Linked DNA regions of Saccharomyces cerevisiae S288C. Changing the gene in region 4 together with the main gene of any one other region gives a genetic interaction. Each region holds a gene or a part of one and is shown on either strand. Other genes may lie near its edges.

Region 1 (8,634 bases), on a different chromosome or scaffold from region 4:
CACATTTGTTTCGGTAGATGAAGAATTGGGTCCCTCCATTTACAAAACTGACCCTGCAGGTTATTACGTTGGCTACAAAGCTACTGCGACAGGACCAAAACAACAGGAGATCACAACAAACTTAGAAAACCATTTCAAAAAGAGTAAAATCGACCATATTAATGAAGAATCATGGGAGAAGGTGGTAGAATTTGCTATTACTCATATGATTGACGCACTGGGTACCGAATTTTCAAAGAATGACTTGGAAGTCGGTGTCGCTACAAAGGACAAATTCTTTACCTTGAGTGCTGAGAACATCGAAGAAAGGCTAGTAGCAATTGCTGAACAAGATTAACATACTTCCTGCCACAACATAATGTGAAATCACACGCGTCAACACTCAATATATGTATGGACACGTTTCATTTAGGATTTATTTTATAGGAAAAAGTAGATCAAGTAATAGAAAATCGAATCTTTTCAAGCCCTTTTGTCGCGTAAATACATCAATACTTTTATATACAAACTGTAAAATAAGTTAATGAAGTGGATAGAAAAAGAAAATAACTAGAAAACATAAGGAATAAAGACGTAAGGGCAATGTTTACAATACTCATCCCAATCTTTTCCGTACTTTCTCTTACATTTTGCTTGGTCTCTGAAGGCTCTGTGAATCAGGACAACAAGGAAGAATACTGGGAAAAACCATGGGAACACCGAGTTGAACCCGCAAGACAAGGCCCAAACGAGAGATTGAGTCCAATCGGCAGTGTAGTGAATTTTTCTAGCCAAAGTGTACCAACCATCAATCAATAGGTACGATCCATTGGAGGTAACCATATACTTTGGATTCTTCAAAATTTGGTATGGCAAAAATGGGAAAGTCTTCCTACCTGTCTTGTCACCAGACATTTGCTTTCTGAAGGCATTTTTCTGAGCATTTGCCGTGTCAAAGAAGTAGTAGGCGCATAATAGAACAACGTACAGCGAAACATTGTACAGTGTAGACCAGTGATATTCAGATGGGTCATGGTAGTACAAATACAACGTACAATGACAGTAAGTGTATGGGACACCGGCAATATTCCAGAAGATCAGCATAAATCCAAACTTTTCGTAAGCCATGTCCCAGGTTGGAACAATCAATTCTTCACCTTTAGCACATGCGTTCGCGTACAACCAATGAGCTAACATGACAACCCCCAATTGTGGTGTCACATAGCCGTAAGTCTCCCACTGCTTCAAACAGGCACCCAAAGTGATAAAGTAAAGGGTGAACCAAGGTAATCTAACCTCGAAAAACATCTTCAAGTCCAAAATCCCCCACCTAGGGTTTAGTGGAGCTCCCATGAAGAAATCATATAGATGGTTTCCTGTCATTCTATGATAGTCATGTGAGATAAATAAAGTCCATAAGTACAATATGATGGAGAAGGCAAACCCTGAAATAATGGCACATGTCATGATCCTCCCAAAACGGTCAATAATGACATACAATCTAAAAAGATTGGTAAAGTGCAAAACCAAGACCAAAGTGGTAGTTACATACAAGGTCCACATGGCATTACAAAAGTAAGGCAATTGTTTTCCCTTCAAATGAGACAATGGTTGACCTTTTGTCCAAATCCCGGGCAACGTATAGTAGAAAATGATCTGAAACACCCAAAATGTTAAGAAAATAGTCCAGTCATACTTTTCTGGGATACCGTTCTCCAAGACTAACTGGTATAGGTGCTTGATAAAGTGCATCCACGATTCACCAGCCTTGGGTAGGGCAACCTTACCGTGATAAAATTCCGCACAAATCCACATATAGTACATTAGCAGTGGAAACCCGATCAGCATACCAATAACACCAGTAGTCCCACCAAACTCATATTCGATTTCATTTGGCTTCAGCCATTTACCCTGAGGCAGGAAATTAACCGGTTGCTTGGACTTTTTCTCCTCTCCCTGCACCTGCAGCTTCTCACTATTATCCTTTGCCATAGCGATGCTAATCTATGTACACTACGTAAATATCCGTATCTGCCTATCTACATAACTGAACTACATTCCTACGTTATTACCACTGTTTGGTAATTTTTCCTCGAGGATATATAATTCTGCTTTTCCATAGTAACGCCAAACGATCGCGTAATACCGGCAATTACGGGATGCACGAAAATAGCGCCAAGGAACGAAAAAGAAATGAGTCTCGTTTAGTTATTAAACGAGAAGAAACGAGCCCTGATTTACATTCTCAGGGTCCAATAGGGCTTTGTTGGAAACAGACGCATACCCTAAATGGAGTTTCTTTTCTTGTTCAAGACCTAATGAGTGGCAATAAGAGGCGCTAATTAAAGCTCTTCAAAACAACCTTATTCGCCTATTACACATGATCAGCCACTCTTTCATTGTCAACAATAGCATGATAGCAGGACCATAGCGGCCATATAGACATTACCAGGAGTGAGTTTTGGCTAAAAAAAGACAATTTGCACATCACTTGCTAACTATTCATCTCAGCCAAGAATATACAGAAAAGAATCCAAGAAACTGGAAGATGCGAGGCTTGACACCTAAGAACGGTGTACATATTGAGACGGGTCCGGATACAGAATCGTCCGCGGACTCCAGCAACTTTTCTACAGGTTTCAGCGGCAAGATTCGTAAGCCAAGGTCGAAAGTAAGTAAAGCGTGCGATAACTGTAGAAAAAGAAAGATAAAATGTAATGGGAAGTTTCCCTGCGCAAGCTGTGAGATATATTCATGTGAGTGCACGTTCAGCACTAGACAAGGTGGCGCTCGAATAAAAAACCTTCACAAGACGAGTTTGGAAGGTACAACCGTACAAGTCAAAGAGGAAACAGATTCCAGTTCGACTTCTTTTTCTAATCCTCAGCGATGTACAGACGGGCCATGCGCAGTGGAACAACCAACGAAATTTTTTGAGAATTTCAAGCTAGGTGGTCGTAGTAGTGGTGATAATAGCGGAAGTGATGGGAAGAATGACGACGATGTGAATAGAAACGGTTTTTATGAAGACGATAGCGAATCACAGGCAACTTTGACATCTCTACAAACCACTCTGAAAAATTTGAAGGAGATGGCTCATTTAGGTACACATGTAACCTCAGCCATCGAGAGCATTGAACTTCAGATAAGTGACTTGCTTAAGCGATGGGAACCCAAAGTGAGGACCAAAGAATTAGCAACAACGAAATTTTACCCTAATAAATCAATAGAAACTCAATTGATGAAAAACAAATACTGTGATGTGGTACATTTGACAAGATATGCCGCTTGGTCAAACAATAAGAAGGACCAAGATACTTCTAGTCAACCTTTGATCGACGAAATCTTTGGTTTGTACTCTCCTTTCCAATTTTTGTCACTTCAAGGTATTGGTAAATGTTTCCAAAATTATAGATCCAAATCCAAATGCGAGATTTTTCCCAGGACCGCCAAGGAAACCATATACATCATGTTAAGGTTTTTCGACGTTTGTTTTCATCACATCAACCAAGGCTGTGTCTCCATAGCTAATCCCCTGGAAAACTACCTACAGAAAATGAATCTTTTACCTTCAACCCCATCTTCGATATCATCTGCAGGGAGCCCGAATACAGCACACACAAAATCGCATGTTGCGTTAGTGATAAATCACTTACCGCAGCCCTTTGTGAGAAATATAACCGGAATAAGTAATTCTGAGCTACTAAGCGAAATGAATAATGATATCAGCATGTTTGGCATTTTATTGAAGATGTTGGATATGCATAAAAATTCCTACCAGAACTTCCTAATGGAAATCACATCTAACCCCTCCGTGGCTAAAAACACGCAGTCAATTGATGTCTTGCAGGAATTCATCCATTATTGTCAAGCTGGAGAGGCGCTAATCGCCTTATGTTACAGCTATTATAATTCTACATTATACAACTACGTGGACTTCACATGCGACATAACGCATTTAGAGCAACTTCTATACTTTTTGGATCTGCTATTTTGGCTATCGGAAATATACGGTTTTGAAAAAGTCTTGAACGTAGCAGTTCATTTTGTTTCAAGAGTTGGTTTATCAAGGTGGGAATTTTACGTGGGTCTTGATGAAAACTTTGCTGAAAGAAGAAGAAATCTCTGGTGGAAAGCTTTCTATTTCGAGAAAACTTTAGCCTCTAAACTTGGCTATCCTTCGAACATTGATGACTCCAAAATCAATTGTTTATTACCTAAGAATTTTCGAGATGTTGGGTTCTTGGATAATAGAGATTTTATCGAGAACGTCCACTTAGTTCGCAGGAGCGAAGCTTTTGACAACATGTGCATATCCGACTTAAAATACTATGGCGAATTAGCTGTCTTACAAATAGTCAGCCATTTCTCATCATCTGTTTTATTCAATGAAAAATTCACGTCAATTAGGAATACATCAAAACCATCTGTTGTTAGAGAGAAACTACTCTTCGAGGTACTCGAGATTTTTAACGAAACAGAAATGAAATATGATGCTATCAAAGAGCAAACTGGAAAATTGTTCGATATTGCATTCTCTAAAGATAGTACTGAACTCAAAGTTTCAAGAGAGGATAAGATTATGGCTTCAAAATTTGTTCTATTTTACGAGCACCATTTCTGCAGAATGGTTAACGAATCTGATAATATTGTCGCCAGATTATGCGTGCACAGAAGGCCCTCAATACTAATTGAAAACTTGAAAATATACCTTCACAAGATTTACAAATCATGGACCGATATGAACAAAATCTTATTAGACTTTGACAACGATTATTCCGTATACCGTTCGTTCGCCCATTATTCTATCAGTTGCATTATTTTGGTATCACAAGCATTCTCAGTGGCCGAATTCATTAAAGTAAATGACGTTGTGAATATGATTAGAGTCTTCAAAAGATTTTTGGATATAAAAATTTTTTCCGAAAATGAGACCAATGAGCATGTCTTCAACAGCCAAAGCTTTAAAGACTATACAAGAGCTTTTTCTTTCCTGACAATCGTCACTCGTATCATGCTTTTGGCATACGGAGAGTCCTCTAGCACCAACCTCGATGTTATCTCCAAATATATTGATGAGAATGCGCCAGATTTAAAAGGTATAATAGAACTTGTCTTGGATACAAACTCTTGCGCTTATCGATTTTTATTAGAACCTGTTCAGAAGTCAGGATTCCATTTAACGGTCTCACAAATGTTGAAAAATAGAAAGTTTCAGGAACCACTAATGTCAAATGAAGATAATAAGCAGATGAAGCATAATTCGGGAAAAAATTTGAATCCGGATCTCCCAAGTCTTAAGACGGGCACTTCATGCTTACTAAATGGCATTGAATCGCCTCAATTGCCATTCAATGGTCGCTCAGCACCTTCCCCAGTGAGAAACAACTCACTACCGGAGTTTGCACAATTGCCTTCATTTAGGTCATTATCCGTGTCTGATATGATCAATCCCGATTACGCGCAACCAACAAATGGGCAAAATAATACGCAAGTCCAATCTAATAAACCAATCAATGCTCAGCAGCAAATACCCACTTCAGTACAAGTACCATTTATGAACACAAATGAAATCAATAACAACAACAACAACAACAACAACAATAAAAACAATATTAACAATATTAACAACAACAACAGTAACAATTTTTCTGCAACTAGTTTTAATTTGGGGACACTAGATGAATTTGTTAATAACGGTGATCTTGAGGACCTCTACAGTATCCTGTGGAGCGACGTTTATCCAGATAGTTAAACGTATACGTTTGTATAGATAAAAGTTCTCAAAAACTTCCTTCCTTTTTTTTTTCTTTTGAGTTTACTTATTTAAATAAGAACATTCTGTTTTCTAGGGCATCTCCTTCTCTTATTTCTTCAACACTATTTACCAGTATACCATAAAGTGAAAATTCCTATTTTTTTTGCTTTGGATATTCATTTGATCCTCAACGAAAAAAAAAATGATGTATTTTAGTATTGTACAAAAGATATTATATGAGGCTAACGTAAAAAAAGCTAAACTGAGGATATATGTATCAACTATGAATCTAAATGTAACATTCCGATGATTCTTTTACCATGAGGTGTATTTCTTATGGGGCCCACCAGTAAAGGCGCCACAATCTCTGATAGTCTTTTATAGAGATAGTCATTTTGCTTATGAGAAATGTCTAATGCTGTCTGTAAAACGTAATTTCCGTAGCTATCATTCAACAATGATTGAATACCCGTCTCGCCACCATTATTTAAAATTTCCAGAATCATTGGCTCCGAAACAATAGCTGTCTTCAAGATTTTTTCAATCACATTTGATCCAAATTTATGGATAGAAAGTTCGATGGCTCTTGGTTTCAACAGGTGGACAATTTTATGCGTATAATCATATTTGTTCTTCTCAGCCTCTTTGGTAATTATATATTGCACCACATAGTTGCCAAATGGATCCAAAGTTAATTTATCAACAAGGGCTAGCAACTTATCACACAGATTGTCACATTGTTCTGTAGTCCCATGATCTAGACAACGTTGCAAAACGCAACACCCGTGTCTATGAGTAGCAATATCAATACAGCTATCAGAGATTGCGTCAAAGATAAACTGGAAGTTTTCAGGCTTCAACCTTTGCAAACATTTTTGAATAACATGATTACCATTTAAATCCTTACTCAACTGGACAGTATAAGGGCGTAAAGAATCAACAACAATCTGTGCTTCTTCATCTGTTTTGATGCATTCAATGAGTTTTTGTAATGCCCTAGTACCATGAGGGTTTAAGGAAATTTCGACAAAATGAGGGGAAGATATTTTTGTGAGTACGATTCTTTGTTCTGTGGTAACCTCTTCCAATAGCTTCTGGATCAAATAATTACCGAATGAATCAGTCATCAATTCAACCGTATAATCCTTAGTTTCTTCAAAAATTGCGTCCGCCGCCTTACTGCCGAGAATATCCAACTGCTTTTGCAGAAAACGACAACCATGTTGGTCTTTACACAATGAGTGAATACTTCCGATATATTGGTCTAAAACTGCGTCCGCAAATCTCGACGACTCCTCAATTTTACGTTGTTTTTCCGCGCTGTTGCTGTTGGTAGCATTACTGTTATTATTATTATTGTTATTATTATTATTATTATTATTGTTATTATAGTAGCCATGATAACTGTTTTTCATATTTTTCATTTTACCAACGTTAGAACGACCTGTGTCTTTATTGTTGTAATTAGAATTACCAATGTTGTCATTGTCATTATGACTTGACATGCTATTGTTATTACGACCATGATGTTTATTATTGGCGCTATTCATTAACGGCATATGATTTTGAGCCAACAAATGAGGCGGAACCATTGCGTTGAAGGGAGGTGGAGTGCTATAAAGCCAGGGAGGAGGGGGGGTGTTTTGCTGGGGAGGTAATATGTGGAAAGGTTGCATTGATGGCCCAAGATTAGGATTTATTAAATCCATCCTAACATTTGGACCCGCCTTGTCGTTATCGGTGGTGGGCTTACCACCATCATTCTTCATATCTGAAAAGGCAACAGAATTTGAACTAGGGTTTAAAACTGGTGCAAGATGAATTGGCGATTGGGTTAGAGGAATTGGAGAATTTGCATTTAGTGAATGACTCGTAGGATTTAAAATCGGAGAGAAAGGTTGAAATTGCGCGCCCATTTCATAAGAATTAGGAAAAGGTGATCTAATACCATAGATAGGGGAGGATATATTATGTGGGTGGCCTGGCATAATAGGATTTGGTTGAAGTAAAGGTCCCCCATATGGATATGCTGCACCATAAGTTGTAGGACTCTCTTTTTTAGCTGGTGCAGTTTTATTAATCAAATCCTCCTTCGAGGTTTCTATTTTGAAATCGGATAATTTCTCAGAAACACTATTGGTTGGGGGTATAAATGACGTTGAGGAGGGAGTATTATCAAAAGATATGGATTGAGTTCTGGTTTTTGCAGTATTGTTAGCTCCTACAGACGGTTTCTTAGCCTTAGAAAAATTCTGCATGTCAGATTGGAAGTCCTTTGACAAGGTTACATTGTTGGCCGCATTGATAAGGTCAGTTGGTGATAAAGCATGAAAAGTTTGTCTTCTGAACGAACTAGCCTTATTATTAGACTCCCTGCCCTTAGATGGTAGGCTTTCTTGTAGAGTAGCGGTGGTTTCTTCAATGGCTACAGATGCTGATCCTGGTACGTTTGAATGAGTCCATAACGGATCAGCCGATGCGATTGGCAATACCTTCATTGAATTGTCATTTATCAATGGGTTTAGATTTTGTCCACCTTGAGTTGCTACCGCAGCACCCGAAGACAGCATTTGAAATGGAAGTGAGTCATTCTTGAATAACATTGGTGGACCGCCTGCATTCAAGGGCGAGCTACTCAATGGTGCTGTTGGATCATTAAAATCAGGGGGCGGAAAAAATGGACAAGGATTATGAGGAACCTGCATCATTTGAGAGTAGGGCATGAAGCCCATTCCACCCATCATTTGTGGATGTGGAAACATTTGCGACGGAGGGCCATTAGCGAATTGAGAATCTTGAGAAACTTTATTCGCAAATGCATTAGAGGTGGCGTTTTCCTCTGGATCATCTAGTTGCAACTGCTCTAAAGCAGAATTGACTGTTTCTGAAACGACAGG
Region 2 (4,975 bases), on a different chromosome or scaffold from region 4:
TCCGCGCTTCCACCACTTAGTATGATTCATATTTTATATAATATATAAGATAAGTAACTGAAGAGTGGGTGAATTTTGATGATAATATATTAGTAACGTAAATACTAGTTAGTAGATGATAGTTGATTTTTATTCCAACAATTATCAATCCTTGTATTTCAGCTTCCATTGAAAACGATGACTATTTCTCATCATTTGCCGTCATCTTCTAACACCGTATATGATTATATACTAGTAACGTAAACACTAGTTAGTAGATGATAGTTGATTTTTATTCCAACAGTTACGTAAACCGTTATCAAATAGATACGCTCAAATTCAATTCTGATTAATTTTCATTGGGGCTGATCGTTTCGCTGCAAGTTGTCATAGTATTATTTATTTATTAATACCTTAGATTTTCTTGACAATTAACCAATTTTTAATCATTAAACTTAATAATATTTAATGCTACTGTACTTTCTATTATTATTTATTATTAATTTATTTATTCGTTCATCTTGTATGTAATCGTCCTCCGTTCTTTTCCCTTTACCGCTGGCTTGCGCGCGATGATTTCCACTAAAAGCTTGCTTGGAAATCTCGATCACCGACATACGCCCTGAGAATGCTTATAGGAGCTATCGAGGCGAAAGAAGTGGGGGGAAAGTAATATCCCGAGAACGAAAACGCAAGGCTTATTGTCATGAAAATGCAAATGCACCGTTGACAAAACCAACCACACGATTATCACGACTACTACCATAATAGGTAGGCAATGAACACTTCGTTCAGCAAATGGGTCCAACACGAATCGACTTTTCGAGGCTTCTTCGGCCGTTTTCGGGCCAGTTAGTGCTGATTATATATCATACTCTAGTTTATGTTCGCTTTACGTATGGCAGTGTCTCTAAGCTATTCCGTCTTTTTAAGAAGCGCATCGATATTGGGATGCCGCCTTCGCCAGTAATTTTCCTGAGCTTGTCGTTCGATCTCCGCTGCCTTGAGCAAAAAGTTTCGATAATTCAGTCTGGAACTAGGAGAAGCTGACTCGATGGCATCTTCAGGCTTAGCGGTGACCGGAGAATTGCCAATTGACGTGGCTGTTTGCTTCTTGGGGGTTACTCCCTCAACAAGGCGTAGAAAATAACGGTAGCAATCCTCATCGCTGTAAAAGTAATACGGAGTATGCCATTGCCCATGATTAAACAAATATTGGTTCATGTTGTATGTGATGATCCTCCATTCTTTCCCTTCTACTGCCGGTTTACGTGTGATGACATCCACTAAAAGCTCGGTCCTAAAATTTCGACGACTGACTAGCTTTGGATTACCATCACCTAATATTATTAACAATACTACAAGAGAAAGATAAGCGTAGTATGCAGAATTGAAAACACAAGCTTCGTTGTCATTAAAAAATATAATTAATAAAACCAAAACCCCTATTACCAGGGACAAAATCATGACTGGTGTATAGCGAGCGATTTCATAGATCCAATAACTCAAGTACGAACGGAATATGTCCTTAGGAAGAGCCACATTTTTCTCAATTAAATGTGCACTAGGTTCGTTGAGTGTATCTAACTTGACGTCGGTACTTTCTAGAGGGGTCTGCATGACCAATATATACCTTGTATCGTCTATGACTATAGTATTCCTGATTGTCTCTGTGCCATTGCATACTGATCAAATGTTTTAATAACGCAGGACCCTTTTCACGATTGTTTTTCATCTCTAGAGGCATTTTCAATATTGCATTTTGCGAAGTGATGTATAATGAAAATGTGGTAATAAGGCAGTGAGCTACTTTGTCACAACAAAGTACGAGAACAGATGAGGTTCCGTGGTGTTTTTGGGGCAACTGCATTATTTGGAGCGCCGTATATATTTATATCCTATTACAAAAAATCATAAATGACACTAAATTTGACACCTACTAGTGTCGTCAATCGAGAAGTAGATCCTTTGTCAAGTTGTGTGCTAGTGTCTCCCGTCTTCTGTCTAAAAAAACTCATCGACACCAGGATACTCTTGTCGCCAATATTCCTTTTGAAATTGTTGTTCGATTTCGGCTGCCTTGGTGAGGAGCTTTATAAAGTTCGGTCCGGCACTAAAACTAGAAGACTCAGCGGCTTCGTTTGGTGTGCCAGCGGTTTCGTCATTTGATTGTGCGTCTTTAACATTGCTGGCTGACGATTCCTTTTGCTTCTTGAAAGTTCTTCCCTTAATAAGACTTAGAAAATAACGGTGGCAATCTTCATCACGGTAAAAGTAGTAGGGAGTGTTCCATAAATCGTTATCAAATAAATACTGGTTCATCTTGTATGTAATTGTCCTCCATTCTTTCCCCTTTACCGTAGGTTTCCGTGTGATAATTTCCATCAGTAGCTTACATTTGAAATCTTCATCACTGATCTGTGGTCCAAACCTGAGTATTAGAACTATCACTAAAATGCCAGAGAATATGAGGAGAAACCCTACAGAAACCCCAACGCAATTTTCGTTATCATGAAAAAGAATAATTATTGAGATTAAAACCCCAATTACTAGAGACAAAAGCATGACCGGTGTACAGTGAGCTGCTTCATATATCCAATAACTCAAGTACGAATGGAATATGTCCTTAGGAAGAGCCACATTTTCCTCGATTAAATATGCACCGGGTTCGTCGAGAGAATCCGACTTGGCGTTGGTATTTTCTGAAGGGGTTTGCATGTTGAATTGATATCTTGTCTTGTGTAAGGTTATTATATGGTTTTGGAGGTTGTTATGCTGATTCGAATTACGACTTGATCTTGATACTAATTGAGCTTTGACGAAATATTTTAGCAATTCAGAACCCCTTTCATATTCTTTTTCTTCTTTTCATTTTTAGAGGCGTTATTTCACTAATAGGTACAGCCTCCGAAATAATACGTAATTGAAGATATGATAATAACAGTACGAGCCTTTTACAGGGCCATTATGATCATGAGTGAGATCCAGAAAAGCACATTGCATGGCAGTCGGATGTTGAGAATTGGGGGAATTTTGAGATAATTGTTGGGATTCCATTGTTGATAAAGGCTATAATATTAGGTATACCTAATATACTAGAAGTTCTCCTCGAGGATATAGGAATCCTCAAAATGGAATCTATATTTCTACATACTAATATCACGATTATTCCTCATTCCGTTTTATATGTTTCATTATCCTATTACATTATCAATCCTTGCACTTCAGCTTCCTCTAACATCGATGACAGCTTCTCATAACTTATGTCATCATCTTAACACCGTATATGATAATATATTGATAATATAACTATTAGTTGATAGACGATAGTGGATTTTTATTCCAACAATCTCAACATTCACCCATTTCTCACATTTATCTCAAAATCCACCCATTTCTCAATAATATATATGGTAAGTAACCAGTTGTCAAAACAGTTTATCAGATTAATTCACGGAATGTTACTTATCTTATATATTATATAAAATATGAATCATACTAAGTGGTGGAAGCGCGGAATCTCGGATCTAAACTAATTGTTCAGGCATTTATACTTTTGGGTAGTTCAGCTAGGGAAGGCCGGGTTTTATCTCATGTTGTTCGTTTTGATATAAGGTTGTTTCATATGTGTTGTATGAACGTTTAGGATGACGTATTGTCATACTGACATATCTCATTTTGAGATACAACATTTTCAGTTAATTTGTTTCCGATATAGTGTAACGGCTATCACATCACGCTTTCACCGTGGAGACCGGGGTTCGACTCCCCGTATCGGAGTATTTTTTTGAAAGTTTTTTTTCACGTTAGTTCCGTGAAGAAAATTTTTTTTCTTCATTTCGGAGAAAAAACAAGGAAGGAGAAAGATTTAAGAGTGATAGCTAGATCATGTATTCCTTAATACGAAGGAGAGACCTGGATTTTTCTCATATTATTATGTCTCACTGCCTACTTAACAAAGACATTTACCTTTGAACTGCAATTAAAGTAAAGTAAAAAAATTAAGAATAAAAAGAAAAATGGGTGCTTGGTTATTTATCCTTGCTGTTGTTGTCAACTGTATCAATTTGTTTGGCCAAGTGCATTTCACAATACTATACGCTGATTTAGAAGCTGACTATATCAATCCAATTGAATTATGTTCTAAAGTTAACAAGTTAATTACCCCTGAAGCCGCCTTGCATGGTGCTTTGTCATTACTATTCTTACTGAACGGTTACTGGTTTGTATTTTTATTGAACTTACCAGTTCTAGCTTACAATCTAAACAAGATCTACAATAAAGTTCAACTTTTGGATGCTACCGAAATATTCAGAACTTTAGGCAAACATAAAAGGGAGAGTTTCCTAAAGTTAGGTTTCCACTTATTGATGTTCTTCTTCTACTTGTACAGAATGATCATGGCTTTGATTGCTGAAAGTGGTGATGACTTCTAATCCAACAAGACATTGAAATCCAAAGAAGACTGAAGGGCCAAGAATAATAGACATACTTAATGGCCGCCCATAGATTGGAGGAAAACTGAAGATAAAAAAGATAAATACACAGAATGTATTAATTCGTGCTTCCCTTTTTTCCTTTTTTGCTTTTTTTCTCAATTGTCGGTGGGAGTTATCAATTTTTTTCGTTATTACCAGCATCTATTAAAGTAAAATACCGGTGAATATCGGTAAATAATAGGTTACTGTATAAATGTACATATAAATATTTGTATAGTTAGTATGCCATACAAAATAAAAAAAAAAAAAAAAAAAAACTAAAAGGTTGAGAACTTAAGGGTGAGCATGACTGTGAAATTTTGAAGAGATGCAGTAAGCCATCCCATATCTATTGCTCCAGGGCCCAGAAAAAAAAAATAAAAAATAGAACTTAAGTTGAAACTTAGTGCAAAAGATATATAATGAAAAAAGATAACCAAATCTGAATCTAAATGAAAATGAAAATTTCTATACATAAATAACGAAGAATAAAATACTAAAATGAAAAAAATAAATAA
Region 3 (8,067 bases), on a different chromosome or scaffold from region 4:
CATGCCCTCGGCGGGCATCATGAGCGCCATGAACCCTTACATGCCCATGAATCGCTACATAATGTCACCATATTATAATCCGTACGGTATCCCTCCACCTCACATGCTGAACAAGCCCATAATGACACCCTACGTGTCGTATCCATATCCAATGGGACCGCGGACCTCCATTCCTTATGCTATGCAAGGTGGCAACGCTAGGCCCTACGAAGAAAATGAGTATAGTGCTAGCAATTACAGAAACAAGAGGGTTAACGACTCATATGATTCGCCTTTGAGTGGCACCGCTTCCACTGGGAAAACCAGACGATCCGAGGAAGGCTCAAGAAATTCTAGCGTAGGATCAAGTGCGAATGCCGGTCCTACGCAACAGCGCGCGGATCTACGCCCAGCAGATATGATACCTGCTGAAGAATACCACTTTGAACGGGATGCATTACTCTCGGCCAACACGAAAGCCAGAAGCGCAAGCACAAGCACAAGTACAAGCACAAGCACAAACCGGGACAGGAGTTCATGGCATGAGGCAGAACCCAATAAAGACGAAGAAGAGGGTACGGACTTGGCCATCGAGGACGGAGCGGTCCCCACTCCCACTTTTACTACGTTCCAGCGGACCTCGCAGCCGCAGCAGCAATCACCTAGTCTTCTTCAAGGCGAAATCCGACTCTCATCGCATATTTTTGCCTTCGAGTTCCCCCTGAGCTCTAGCAATGTAGACAAGAAAATGTTTATGAGCATATGTAATAAAGTATGGAATGAATCAAAGGAGCTGACAAAAAAATCATCATCACATCACAGAACCGGAAAATAGTAGCCACACAGGCACTTATAAACTTACATACACTCGCATACACTCACCTACTCACACACGCACTCACACACACACTCTCACTCGCACACCAAGGACAATTCAGTACATACACAATTTTTATATAAGTTTGATAAACTAAAAGATGAGGGTGAGTATTCACCTTATTAATAGTTACAGCCTTTATCGTCACTAGACACGACAGCATTGGTTTGTCTTTTTTTTTTTTTTTTTTTTTTCCTTTCCATCGTTGTAGCGGATTTGGCGTTGAAGTATTTTGATATAAGTAAAACAGAACACCAAATCAAGAATAATAAAGGAGGAAAAGTCGTCAACCAAGCGGATTCTCAATTGGTAGAAAAGCTTTTATTATTTTCTGTTAGCCGCTCTTGGGACCCGTTATTTCTGAACCTATTTTTCCTTCCGCACTTTGTGAAAGTAAGAAGAGAATAGCATCAATTTTAGTATTTTTCAAACAGAAGAATTTAAAAGAGCTAGAATAAAAAGTTAGGAAACAATGTCACTTTCTCTTGTATCGTACCGCCTAAGAAAGAACCCGTGGGTTAACATTTTTCTACCTGTTTTGGCCATATTTCTAATATATATAATTTTTTTCCAGAGAGATCAATCTCTGTTGGGACTTAATGGCCAGTCCATTTCCCAACACAAATGGGCACACGAAAAGGAAAACACATTTTATTTTCCCTTCACCAAGAAATACAAAATGCCAAAGTACTCTTATAAGAAAAAAAGCGGCTGGTTGTTCAACGATCACGTGGAAGATATTATCCCAGAAGGTCATATTGCACATTATGATTTGAACAAATTGCACTCTACGTCAGAAGCAGCTGTCAATAAGGAGCATATTTTGATATTGACTCCAATGCAAACATTTCATCAACAATACTGGGACAATTTGCTGCAGCTAAATTACCCTCGGGAATTGATTGAATTGGGGTTCATTACACCAAGAACAGCCACTGGTGACTTGGCCTTAAAGAAATTGGAGAATGCTATTAAAAAGGTTCAAACGGACAAGAAAACTCAAAGATTTAGTAAAATTACTATTTTGCGACAGAATTCCCAGAGTTTTGATAAGTTGATGGAGAAGGAAAGACACGCTTTAGATGTTCAAAAGGAAAGACGTGCAGCAATGGCTTTGGCGCGCAATGAATTACTATTCTCCACCATAGGACCTCACACTTCTTGGGTGCTGTGGCTAGATGCCGATATTATAGAGACACCACCATCTTTAATTCAAGACATGACCAAACACAACAAAGCTATCTTAGCTGCAAACATTTATCAAAGATTTTACGATGAAGAGAAGAAGCAACCATCAATCAGACCATACGATTTCAACAACTGGCAAGAAAGTGACACCGGTTTAGAAATAGCCTCTCAGATGGGTGATGACGAGATTATTGTCGAGGGTTATGCAGAAATTGCCACTTATAGGCCATTAATGGCTCATTTCTACGATGCTAATGGCGTACCAGGTGAAGAGATGGCGCTGGATGGTGTTGGTGGAGGCTGTACTTTGGTCAAAGCAGAAGTTCACAGAGACGGTGCCATGTTCCCTAATTTCCCATTTTATCACTTGATTGAAACAGAAGGTTTTGCTAAGATGGCGAAGAGATTAAACTACGATGTATTTGGCTTACCAAACTATTTGGTTTATCACATAGAGGAAGAGAACCATTGAGCAACTGAGCAAAAAGCATACAGAAGCTATAGCGTTATTGAAAGATAATATTGTTGCGATTATTAGTTGAAAATAAACAAAACAAGATATATATTCATATATATATATATATAATTTACACATGTATATTAAAAAATGCCGAATAAAAAGTGCTACAACAACTAATTTCTGAGCTTGAGAATAAACCATTCACATTTTATTTCTTTTGGTGCTTCTTTATCATTTATAAATCGGTGGTCTTGACTTTTTATTCCTTTCTAGTCTAACAATCATCCATTCTATAGCGTCTTTAACACCTTCTCCAGTCAATGCGCTTATTGGTAAAACCCTACTATCTCTAGCGCTTATATGTTCCGCAATCTTATTAAATACTTCTTTTATATCTTGTACTTCCATTCTATCTTGTCTATCTTGTTTATTGGCCAGCATCAAGATGGGTACACCTTCAATTTCTTCATCCATTACAACTGACTGTAGGGTCGTGGAACATTCGTCTAATCGTTCTCTATCTGAACTATCCACAATGAAAATTATACCATGACATAGGGAATAGTATTCGGACCACATTGATCTCAGTGATTCTTGACCACCTACATCCCAAAACTTCAAGATCTGTTTACTGTCAACGGGTATTGTCGCCACATTTTGTCCTACCGTAGGCTGTATCTTTTCCAAGGCTTTGAACGCCAGAGAGTATTCCTTTTTCAATGTCTCCAAGAACGTCGTTTTGCCTGCATTGTCTAGACCTAATATTAGAATTGAATATTGTTCCTTTTTATTCCAATTATTGTAAAGTCCCTTGACTAAATGAAACATGTGTGCGGTGCGCTTTATATGCTTTATTCTCCTTCATCTACTTGATTAACACATCGATCTGAATTCGTTTTTTAATTTTCCGTTTACATTTGTCTGAAAAAGGTGTAAACATATTTCTTATACTAACACTCCCATAAAGTTCAAAGTAGAAAATAGGAGGTGGGGGAGGATACGTACATATGCAAGCTACATTGACGTATCTGCTCTTAAACATAAAATAAAAATGCAGTAGTATGTTAACTTATTTAATGGTGGGATATATGCTTCTAACTGAATATAACTGCTTAGCATTCAAACTCTAAAATAACAAAGTTTTCATCACCTAATAAATGAGAAATAGAATCCGTAGCTAAATCGGTCGAGTTCAACAAGACTTCTCTATCTTCATTTTTAATCAGTTTCCCACCGACCCAGTTAAGATTTTTCAAAAGATCCAAACCATTATTAATTAAATCATCTCTTAAAATATACAATCTCAATTTCATGTATTCGAATTTGAAGTTTTGGTTCAGGTTGGAAGTTAGCTCTAAAAGGGCAAGTAACCAATCTTTATTTATATAGGTACTGTGGTTATCATGAACGTTCCTACTATTCAGTAAAGATGGTAATACAACATGGAAATAGTTTTCATTAAGTTTACACCAAATCAGTTCCTGCGTAAATAGGGGAAGATACAGTATGAAATACTGCGAGCCTAGTTTTCTCCAATTGTAACCATCGTGGCTATTATTATTTTTATATTGCTTGGTATTTTCATTATAAATTAGTCTTTTTAACGTAGTTTTCATATCGTTTACAAGCTTATTTTTCAACAGCTTAGCAACAGACTTCTGATTGTTCCCCTTATTTTTTGACGGAACATTGTAATCTAATATGAATTGAGATTCCATGCATAAAATAACATCCCAGTAAAAATCGATGATATCAATCTCTGGTGGAACGTCTAGAGGGATGTCACGCGCACCAATCCTTAAATCCCCCACTAGCCAAACTATACGTAGAAAGTTTAGGCATTGGTGTGCACTTATTACTTTTTAGCAGTGAACTTACTGGAAAATGTAAAGAAATACCCAGATTTGATGGGTCCTCTATGAGCCTCATGAGTTCAGGACTCTGTAAAACGTTTATTATTTTTGTTTTCCTTTTCTGTATTACTTCATACATTTTCAAAGATCTTTTTACTTCTTTATGTTATCCTCACTATTGAAATACAACGTTACTAGGTCTTTTATCTTTCCATATTTTTATTCTCAATCACATACATATATAGTCATCGCCGATTATCTTTTCGTTTTTTAAGTGGCGCTCTCGTGAGACACGAGTTGTTCCTTCACAGGAAAAAAAAATATAAAAATAACCTTCAAGTTACATGTGATATTTATTCGAGAAATGTGGATGAGATTTGTTAAATGTACTTATAATGTGTACGAGTATACAAGACTAGAGGGATACTAAGCGTTCACCCAACCTTTTGTGCCCTTTAGTGAAGATAAGATAAGGTAAGATGCACGTACTGCTGAGCAAAAAAATAGCACGCTTTCTGTTGATTTCGTTTGTTTTCGTGCTTGCGCTAATGGTGACAATAAATCATCCAAAAACAAAGCAGATGTCTGAACAGTATGTTACACCATACCTTCCGAAATCTTTGCAACCTATTGCAAAAATTAGTGCAGAGGAACAAAGGCGTATACAAAGTGAACAGGAAGAAGCCGAATTGAAGCAATCTTTAGAGGGAGAGGCCATTAGAAATGCCACCGTGAATGCCATTAAGGAAAAGATCAAATCTTATGGTGGTAATGAAACGACGCTAGGGTTCATGGTGCCATCGTATATCAATCATAGAGGATCACCACCAAAGGCGTGCTTTGTCTCACTAATTACTGAAAGGGATTCCATGACCCAAATCTTACAATCTATTGATGAAGTGCAGGTGAAGTTTAACAAAAATTTTGCTTATCCTTGGGTTTTTATTAGTCAGGGGGAGCTTGACGGAATGAAGCAAGAAATGATTCGTCAAGCCATAACTGATTCTATGAATGGTGATCCTGAGTTAATTAATATTAAATTTGCTGAAATTCCTGCAGACGAATGGGTATACCCTGAATGGATTGATGAAAATAAAGCAGCAGAATCGCTAATTTCATTAGCAAATGTACCGGATGGTGATTCTAGAGCTGTAAGATATCAAGCTAGATATTTTGCAGGGTTTTTTTGGAGGCATCCAGTTCTGGATGAGTTTGATTGGTACTGGAGAGTAGACCCTGGTATTAAATTGTACTGTGATATTGATCATGACCTTTTTAGGTGGATGCAAGATGAAGGCAAAGTGTTTGGTTTCACATTGAGTATGAGTGAAGCTAAGGAAGCCAATGAGAAGATTTGGGATGTTACGAAAAAATTTGCAAAGGATTTTCCAAAGTTTATTTCCGAGAATAATTTCAAGTCATTTATTACAAAAAAGGACTCTGAAGATTTTAACAACTGTGAATTCACATCAAATTTTGAAATTGGTAATTTGAACTTTTATAGATCGCCAGCTTACAGGAAATTTTTTAATTACATCGACGAAGAGGGCGGTATTTTCTACTGGAAATGGTCTGATTCCATCATCCACACAATTGGGTTATCGATGCTGTTGCCAAAGGATAAAATACATTTTTTCGAAAATATAGGATTCCATTATGACAAGTACAATAACTGTCCCCTAAACGATGATATATGGAACCAATATAATTGTAACTGTGACCAGGGTAACGATTTCACGTTTAGAAGTGGTTCATGTGGCGGACATTACTTCGACATTATGAAGAAAGATAAGCCAGAAGGTTGGGATAGGTTACCATAAATCAAAACACTGATGTATAAGAACAATAATCTTCTACATATGAATATATATACATATGTATTTATTTATTTTATTTAATTTTTAATTAGGATCGCGAGAAAGAGAAAAACAAAACTAACTTATGATGGAACGTATCGAGAGGAGGTGAATATATATATATAAAATGACTAGGCTAGAAGATTCAGAGCTTCATGTATTGTCGTAGTTTTTTTGGTTTGACTTTTTTAATCAAATTTCAAATTTCAGTAAATAATTGGTTGGATATTACTATGCAAAATGCAACCGTATTTTAAAATAAAATTAAAAGAATCCAACTCATACAATGAAATGTTTTTTATATTAAACGTGCTTTTTTTTATTATTTTTTGTTCTTATTTTCCGGCTTTCGGAAGATGTAGAGTGGTCCGGTATATTAATGCTTGAACTAGGAAAAACTATGGATGGGGCGGCTCTTCATTCATGACAGTATCTGGAATTGAAATTGTGAATAAGTAAATCTTCAATTTCATTATCTGATTCTTCTTGAATTGCAGGGCCTGTACGATACCTTAAATTCTGATTCACACTCGGATTCGATAACGTAGTTTGGCCTTGCTCTTGCCAAATGTTAGATGAAGACGAAGAGACTGGAGAATAGGCATTAATGTTGGAGTTATTATAGCTATAGTTGATGTACGAAGAAGAAGACGAAGGGGGAGAAAAGAATTCAGTATATAGGGCCTCTGGACTTTTCTGAGGCGAATACATTAGGTATTGCGAGGAAAAGTAGTTTGCATTCGAAGCAGAGTGAGAGAATTCCGTTTGTGCAGACAGAGGAGGAGACGTGTAGGTAGAGAAAGAAGCTGATCTAGCATGGGATAAGTAGTTGTTTTGTGAAGGGGGAGTGATGTCAATAGGTTCTTTACTGTTCATCTTGAACCCATTTGGCAGCACATGAGCATTAACACACTTGTTACCGAATTTACAGTTACCCTTTGCGAAATACTTGCAAGGTAAATTATTCGCAGAACTGATAATATCTGGGGAATGGGAAAAGGGACAAGACGAGCCAGCTTGGCAATTGCCCATCTTAAAAAATTTGCATGGCACGTGTGAATAGTCCTTCTGCTGTTGAGAATTGTTCTTCGTTATCAGTAAATGTTCCATGATAATTTTTTGTTGACGTGATGAGAAAGGCAGTTGATTGCCGACAGTACAATTTTTTGACAAATTTACATTTGCATTGCTGTCATTGAAAGACCTTGGAATATTCTGGAAATCCTGAATTTGCGATGCAAGCATTTCGTTTGCTGATTGGGAGTTTCTTCTTGCGTTACCGCCCGGATGATTTGATACAGACATATTCTCAAAAGCATCCATTTTGTTTTAGCAAATAATAGTTTTAAGATTTATAATAATAATAATAATAGTAATAGTAATAGTAGTAGTTATGATAGTGTTAGATAATAAAATCGAGATTTTGTAGAAACAAGGGGAAGCCGAAAAAGAAGAAATTATAATTACTCTAATATGACGGCACAAGAGAAAAGGGAAAAGAGTAACTGCTAAGAGATTCTGTTTTTATAATGCCCGGAGTAAAAGAAGCTTTGAGATTAAAAGATCACCACCATATTTTGTAATAATTTACTTTAGATTGAGATATAGGGGAAGAACTACACGAAGCACCGAAATCCAAAACTTAAAAATTACAAGATAAGCACGAAAATACATAATACAAATAAAAAATGATAAAGGCAGAATTATACTGTGGTACCTTGAAGATAAGAATACCGTACCACAACATGTTAATCTCCACATCATTTTATTACTAGCACTGCCACACCGTGCACCCCATACAGGATGTTGTCTGCACCTTTTCTTCCTATCATCTTTTTTATCCCACATCATACT
Region 4 (7,490 bases):
TTGGTTTCATACAGCCGTATTCTTTCTTCTAATTCAGTTTCCCTTTTTATCGATTCTGCTAATTCTGTAGACACCAGTGTCAACTCATTCATTAATTCTTTGTTTTCTGTTATCAAATTCAATTGCTCACCAGATATTGTTATCATCTTTGGCTGAGAGCTATCTTCTCCACTAGTTGATCCGGCGGAAGTTATGTCTCCTCTCCTAGCATATAACGGTTCATACGGTTTGGCTAAAGTATTATCAAAACTGAAGTCTTCTTCTGAAGCATTCATGCCATCCTTATCGTAGCTAACTGGGGCTGATTTTGTTTTGGAGGGTGAACCATCCATATGCGGTACAAAATTATCAGATTCTGAGGCGGAATCAATATTCAACGGCAGCGTATTGGAGATGAACGATCTACGGGAAGAGCTGGACATATGAGAAACTGCTGATAAATGACCATCGCGATTATTTTTTTTATATAGAAAAGTATCATTGTTGATGTTTTCCTGGTTCATGGATATGTTGACATTACTTAGTCTCCTGCCATTGCCATCGGATTCACGTCGCTTAATGGTAGCATCTGAGACATTTCTTTTGGGATCTCTTTCCGGTATGGATTGTAACAAAGAAGCCCTTTTACTAGTATTGAAATCAAAATCGACCTCGTTCGTTGTATTCATTTCGCCATTATCCGAATTTGAGTTATACTTTCCGGGAGAGGGGAATTCTTGTGCGGTCACGTATTCATTGATATCAGTAGAGTTTTCTAGCTTATACATACCTGTTCTGGTATTGATGATTCTTTGCTTGGAGGGAGAATCACTAAATGTGGATGAGAAAGTCGACAAGGACGCTCTATTGGCGACTGCACTTTCACTTTCCAATTTAAGATCTTTTAAACCAGTCTCTAGCGCACTCGCAGGTCTTAAATTTAAATCGTCTGATTCATGTGAAATTTCCTCCTCTTCATTTGCTTCAGTATTTTTCTCAGCTCTTTCCTTTTCTTTTTCTTCTACTAGTGCTTCTCTCTCACGTAAAGATTTTTCCATTTCAGCTAGCTTCCTTTCTTTTTCCTTTAACTCGTTTTGTTGAGGAGTGGATAATTGCAAAACATTCAGTTTTCCCTTGTTTTCAATAGGTTGATCAATGTTCACTTGTTTTTTTAGTGGTGAAGATCCTTGTTTTGTAGAGTTAGGCATTGCTGTAGCATCAGTAGGAGATGACGGAGAGAATGTAGTCAGGGAGTTGTTTTGTACGTTCGGTATTGAATAAGCTGAATTATTCTTTGAGGAAATTGACGATTGACTGATTGGCTGTTTCATGGACACAGCTTTACGATCGTTGTCATTTGGTGACCATGGATTAAACCCTTGGGGAACGTTCTGACTTTGTAGAGACATTGTCCGATAGCCTTCAGACATTGGATGAAGTTGAAGTTGTTGTTGTTGTTGTTGTTGTCTTTGTGATATCTGCTGATGACCTGCGAATGGCCGAGGATTTTGGGGTGAATATCTTGGGCCATTAGTTAATGACAGAGTACGTGGTTGCTGAGGTGGCTGTTGTCCAGAGGGCATTACTGGTGGGGTATTCTGGAATTGACCTGGGTGATTGTTGTAGTTGTTCATCGGTAGCATTCTTTGTTGCTGCGGCTGTCGAAATTGTCCGGGAGGTCCACTCATCAACGAATTTGATCTCGAATAATTAGCGCTCACCATTTTATTCGGTTGAAATCTAGGATGAGGAGTGGGTGCTTGCATTAAAGGATTACCATTCGGGAAACTTTGCAAAGACATTGCTCTCGGAGGCAACGAGGCTAATGTACCATTTTTAGTTTGTTTAGCCATGGCATTCATTGCGGTTTTCCTTTGATTAGTAATGTACTTCCTATACTCAGTATTACTCATATTGCCGCGGTCTTTAGTCACCAATGTTGGAATGATAGGAGTGGAATCACCACCATATCCATATTTGTCACCGCCCTTGTGACCGAAGGTCTGAATGTCATTGAATGTTAGGTCGGAGTTTGCAGAATCATCCAAGATAACCTCATCGTCATCATCACCATCTCCACCACCTCCTGTCCCCTTAGTGTTTTTCTTTGACTTCCCAAATTGATGCTTATGTTTGAAAAAATTGGAAAATGAGCTCTGGGTAAATGAGGAAGCTTTCTTACCATTAACATTATCGCGATTATTGCTTAGTGATGGTTTGGTGAAGTTATGCTGCATGAGGGGAATCTCATTCATATGTGGATTGGAATACTCAAAATTATACTGTTGTTGCTGGCGTTGCTGTTGTGAATAATTCTGCATGGGAATTTGACGTTGTTGAAGTGGCGCTTGTATTGGAGCCTCATTCATGCCATTACGGTAGTATTGCTGCTGCTGCTGCTGCTGCTGCGGCACGGAAGAAGGCTGGATGTTAATATTGCTGTCATTCCCGTTCCTTGAAATAGGTGTTTCATCCCTAATGTCAATATTTCCTATATCATTATTCAAGAGGTTATTTCTCAATTTAACTCTAGCAGAAGACTGACCGTTTCTTGTTGCCATGGTCGATAAACCTGCATCCATTTTGAACTTTTTATAAATAGTCTTTGAGTACTTTTTATCCCACTGCTTTATCGGATCAGGCTGTACCTCTCTGCTCTTTTTGTAGGGTTATTAATAGCTCGGTGAAAATTAATGAAAGAAAGCTCCAAATTTAGCTATAGCCGTAAACTAAAAAAAAAAAAATTAGGAGGGCAGTCACTAAAACAAAAAATCAGAATTCCTATGCAATGTGCTGCTGACACAGTTACTTGAAATGCCTATTTATTCACAATTTGAAGGGTTTGCGATGCTGAAAGAGTTGTTCTATTCAGTCGCACGCGTTAACTCTTTGCATGTGCTTCATTTGTCCATAATTGAGCCCAAAATTTGATTTAAAAAAAAGGAATTTTTGAAAAAAAAAAAATATCAGGGGAGACCCTGAAGCGGACAAAAAAATTTACAATTGCGGACATTTACCCGGAAGCTCTGTGATATACTAATAACAGAGATAATTATGTAGTCAATTATGTATCTGTCTATGCTTTTCTTGACCTAGATTGTGCTTGAGTCCGTCTGGCAGTACTAGTGGATTTCCCGCTTTCTTGCTTGTCTTCGCTGTCTTCCTTGATGGCACTGTCGTCCTTTTTATTGGCATCTTTATCCAGCTCATCATTATCCTTCAATTTGACGTGTGATAATTCGTTTATAAACCAGATAACGGTAATCCATAGTAAAAGTGATATACAGAAAAGAGCATAGAAGTGGATATTCCCGTTTGTGGCATAGATGAGCCAGATGAGGGTCAGTAGTAGTGCAACAAAAGATACGTGTGTGGCGATGATCAGCTGGGGGGAGGTCCCTGGTTCAAATACACTTTCCCACAGTCTAACAAAAAAATTGGCCATTTTGAGAAATTTTCGAAGTTATATCCCTGCGATTTTTGGCACTAATCAATTAGATGGACGTGTTCTTGGATATGACAAAAAGAAAAGACCATCTCTATTTTTCTTCATTTGATTTTCAGTCAAGCAAAAAACGCCGGGTAAACGCAGTCAAAGAAAATTAAAGAACATCTGCTATACCCTACCATGTTCTTAAAATATGAATGCGCTATTCAGGTTCATAGGCAAAGTTTTCACATGTCACTCGCCAAATAAAAATCAAAATTGAAATATATAGGTAAATAGATTGATAAAAAGACGTAATTAATCACCTGTACATCTTCAATTGGAGTTTCTGAGACACCGATATCTAGGACGAAAGAAACAACGGTAAATGATGATACCGTGCTTCGAGCAGACAGGGTCAGTAATCATACCAACAGAAAAATTCTCTTTGGTATAAGTAACGGTGTTACTGCCGGAAATACTCCCGAGAAAAACAGAACCTTCACTGGTTTTAATATTCACCTCAATGTAAGTGATGGTCTGACTTTGCCCTTATAATTAGCAGCAGCAGGAGTGGCGACACCAGAGATTAGGCACTAGTGAGGAGAAGAGATAGTCTGACTGGCCATTTTAGTTAATGGATATATAGTTTCCCATCTATTGAAAGGAGTGGAAACTATAACTGAAAACTGGGTTCTTGAGCAGGAATACTGCTTGTATACTTTTCTTGTATTTCACTGCTTCCTGTCCGATGCGCTAGCACGATGGAGCTCGGCAAAGAAAGACAGAGGAGAGAAACATCCTGAGGATTTTGCTTTGTGCAGAAAAGGTTCCATCCCTGCAATAAGGGTCCTCTTTGCTGCGGAAATTCGAAGAAACGAGATAACCATCCTGGGTTGTAGCGACCTCATCACCACCTAGACCCCTCGGTATGCAGCCAAAATCCATTTGTGTTTGCCTAAGGCACGGAATGGGAAATAAAGTATTTTAGATTGCATACGCATTTTCCCTCTGGGTAGGGAGTTGGTAAAAAAAAAATAGACAGAGTAGATTCGTAATAACTTAAATGGCTAAAGCGTGGGTACATCAGTGCAAACAAATACGATATTACCGTACCAATTGCACACTTCTTGGTAAGAAAAACTGGGAGCACACCTTACCCATAAAAAAGTGCATCGTTATTCCCATGGATAGGAAGAATAAGAATATATCACTCCTGCCTCCAGAATAGTAAATCTGTTTTCTCAGTAAATTATCCCTTTGAAACCTTACTGGATTTGGCTGTCATTGGTCGTAATTGCCCACAATTGAGGTTGCATTCTAAATGTTTCTTCCAATCAAAAATCAGTTAGATAAGTACCTTGGATGCCATTACATCGGGAAGCCCCTTTACTCAGAAGCCCGTTAGTTTCTTGAGTACTCCGATATAATTCCCCTATTTCTACAAATGCTACATAAAAAAATGCTGTGAATAAAGTCGCTAACAACAACTACTTATCGTGACTTGTCTAAAAAAAAAAAAACCTACATTTCAGAGTTAAAATAAATCTAAAGGTGCCACTGGAAAGAGTTATATGCGAGCTCCAGGTTCATATTCAAAAACATGACATCTTACTTTCTCTCGCGGTTGTGACCTCCTTCAATGAATTTGATATTGCTAACCAACAATCATCAATATTTTTGTTTTACCCGTCTTCTCGTTTTCTGAACGTGACACTAGCAATGTCAGACGTTCATTCTCACTTTCTGTCACGTGCTCGCATTGCGAGCAAAAAAAGCCTTACCACCACTCGATTAATCTAATGAGTTGCTGTATTAATAAATAAATTTTTATATTAAAATATATTATAGGAAACATGCAATGGCCCAATTGGCCTAAATATATATAACTCCCACAAGTTCGCCCACCTCTTCATTGGTTTAACTAGGCGTCAACCGCGAGTCCATTATGATATGATTTTTATGTAATTTTTCTGTTAATCAATCGTTCCCTTTGATAGTACAATAAGCAGAAGGAAAAAAAAAGGCTTTTAGAAACTTCTTAAATACCGGTGCCTAGGACGAAAGAAACAGCAGCAAATGCGGCCATGATGATACCGTACTTCGAGGAAACAGGGTTTGCAACCATGCCTGGAGCAGCGTTCTTTGAACTGGAAGTAGTGTTCTTAGCGGCACTGGAACTAGCAGTAGAAGTAGCAGAGACGGAAGAGGCGGCAACGACATTGTTGGAAACTAAGGCACTGTTAGTTTTGATGGAGGAGGAAGCGGAAGCGGAAGTGGAAGTACTGCTGGCCATTTTTATTCAGGTTATTTGCGATTAGGTTGGGGTTTGTGTTTGATGGAGACCTCAGTAATTAACAGTACATTCTGAGAGCGGCAAACAGAATTCTGCCTTAAATTCAGATCGTTTATATACTTTTTTTTCACTTTTTACGCTCGAGACACCATAACCCAAAAATAGATCAAACTAGCCATTGTATTTTTCACCAATATGGCAATGTGATTTCCGCATTAGGCAATACTGTGAAAGACTCTATGCTACGTCAGTTCGGAGGCGTGTTTCGCAATCTTCGCGTTCCAGAACGCACCAACGCGTTGTTATTTGCGCAGCACAAGGGGGACGAGAGACATTCTGGCCAACGTGCATTCGACGGAAGTAAATTTCGGCTGGAGGCTAAGCGCTGCTTTACTGCAATTTGCATCATTACGGTGGCTCGCAGGGATAGATTGGGCGTACTGGTTTGTGGCAAAAACACCGCCTCCACGCTACCTTATTTGCCAGCCAACCGCATATTCAGGTTGCCAAAGGTACAGATCAGGAAAATGTTTCCCATTGGATGCGCAACTTTCCTTAGTAGGGAATATATAATCACTGCATTGCTGGTTTCGTACTGCCATCTTTGCGTTTAAAGTATAACCAAATTAATAAAGCGACTACGCCGCTATCCAAAACAGGCTCCTCCAGCTCCTTTAAGGAAACAAACGTCTTTTTTCTTTACTCTTATTTTTTGCACCGATTGCTAGAATACTTCTCCAATCTCTTCAAATGATGATACAAACATGTAGTCAGTAGAGATGTATCTGTCTTGATGCTCCATATGTCGTTACCCGGAAAACATCTTTCTTGTTCCTTTCGATACTTTTCCACGTTTTCAATTAACCGGAGCCATTGATAATTTCATTCACTCTTGAGAAGTTAGCGGCAATAGTAATCGGCGAAAGCTACCGTAAAGACAGTCACAAATTACCTACCACACAAGCAATGGGAGCCTACAAATATTTAGAAGAATTAGAAAGAAAGAAGCAATCTGATGTTTTGAGATTCTTGCAAAGAGTCAGGGTCTGGGAATACAGACAAAAAAATGTCATTCACAGAGCCGCTAGACCAACTAGACCAGACAAGGCTAGGAGACTAGGCTACAAAGCCAAGCAAGGTTTCGTTATCTACCGTGTCAGGGTTAGACGCGGTAACAGAAAGAGACCTGTTCCAAAGGGTGCTACTTACGGTAAGCCAACTAACCAAGGTGTCAATGAATTGAAATACCAAAGATCCTTGAGAGCTACCGCTGAAGAAAGAGTTGGCCGTCGTGCTGCTAACTTGAGAGTCTTGAACTCCTACTGGGTCAACCAAGACTCTACTTACAAGTACTTCGAAGTTATATTGGTTGATCCTCAACACAAGGCTATCAGAAGAGATGCTCGGTACAACTGGATCTGCAATCCCGTCCATAAGCATCGTGAAGCTAGAGGCTTGACTGCCACCGGTAAGAAATCCAGGGGTATCAACAAGGGACACAAATTCAACAACACCAAGGCCGGCAGAAGAAAGACCTGGAAAAGACAAAATACTCTGTCGTTATGGAGGTATAGAAAATGAAATAGTTAGAACCGTATATAGATCAATAATAATGCACTATGAACATTTTTTCAACCTGATTACTTCATCGTTCCTTTTCTTCGACTTATTTTTTTTTTATTATTCTTCGCTCTTTGGCAGCATACGCAATTTGAATTTGCAGTTTTTGACTCTTTTTTCCTTAGCGGAACGAACAATATTAATCATGCCAACTAAGTCATTGCAGAA

Evidence for each region.
Region 1: mutations in PKR1 (region 4) and ERG4 together harm fitness more than expected from each alone (negative genetic interaction), as found in Saccharomyces cerevisiae (3 studies listed by BioGRID).
Region 2: mutations in PKR1 (region 4) and ERV14 together harm fitness more than expected from each alone (negative genetic interaction), as found in Saccharomyces cerevisiae (4 studies listed by BioGRID).
Region 3: mutations in PKR1 (region 4) and ARL3 together harm fitness more than expected from each alone (negative genetic interaction), as found in Saccharomyces cerevisiae (4 studies listed by BioGRID).

Annotation. Positions count from the first base shown.
Region 1 is NC_001139.9:466,192-474,825, reverse strand, and holds ERG4 (delta(24(24(1)))-sterol reductase), read right to left. Parts: upstream 1,972-8,634; coding exon 550-1,971; downstream 1-549. Other genes in the region: SCL1 (proteasome core particle subunit alpha 1), read left to right, coding at 1-337; drug-responsive transcription factor PDR1, read left to right, coding at 2,528-5,734; PUF4 (Puf4p), read right to left, coding at 6,019-8,634. UniProt on the Saccharomyces cerevisiae protein: C-24(28) sterol reductase; part of the third module of ergosterol biosynthesis pathway that includes the late steps of the pathway. ERG4 Catalyzes the last step of ergosterol biosynthesis by converting ergosta-5,7,22,24(28)-tetraen-3beta-ol into ergosterol.
Region 2 is NC_001139.9:400,311-405,285, reverse strand, and holds ERV14 (cornichon family protein), read left to right. Parts: upstream 1-3,998; coding exon 3,999-4,415; downstream 4,416-4,975. Other genes in the region: DUP240 family protein MST27, read right to left, coding at 895-1,599; pheromone-regulated DUP240 family protein PRM8, read right to left, coding at 1,984-2,697. UniProt on the Saccharomyces cerevisiae protein: Could regulate export of the bud site and axial growth sites selection protein AXL2 and possibly other secretory proteins from the endoplasmic reticulum in COPII-coated vesicles. Seems to be required for axial budding pattern in haploid cells.
Region 3 is NC_001148.4:455,228-463,294, reverse strand, and holds ARL3 (Arf family GTPase ARL3), read right to left. Parts: upstream 3,333-8,067; coding exon 2,736-3,332; downstream 1-2,735. Other genes in the region: DIG1 (Dig1p), read left to right, coding at 1-814; mannosyltransferase complex subunit MNN9, read left to right, coding at 1,329-2,516; KTR6 (putative mannosyltransferase), read left to right, coding at 4,837-6,177; LEE1 (Lee1p), read right to left, coding at 6,631-7,536. UniProt on the Saccharomyces cerevisiae protein: Involved in the targeting of ARL1 to the Golgi. Can bind and hydrolyze GTP.
Region 4 is NC_001145.3:509,527-517,016, reverse strand, and holds PKR1 (Pkr1p), read right to left. Parts: upstream 3,425-7,490; coding exon 3,056-3,424; downstream 1-3,055. Other genes in the region: EPO1 (Epo1p), read right to left, coding at 1-2,561; NCW1 (Ncw1p), read right to left, coding at 5,448-5,702; YMR122C (uncharacterized protein), read left to right, coding at 5,942-6,316; 60S ribosomal protein eL15 RPL15B, read left to right, coding at 6,669-7,283. UniProt on the Saccharomyces cerevisiae protein: Functions together with the other V-type ATPase assembly factors in the endoplasmic reticulum to efficiently assemble the V-type ATPase membrane sector V(0).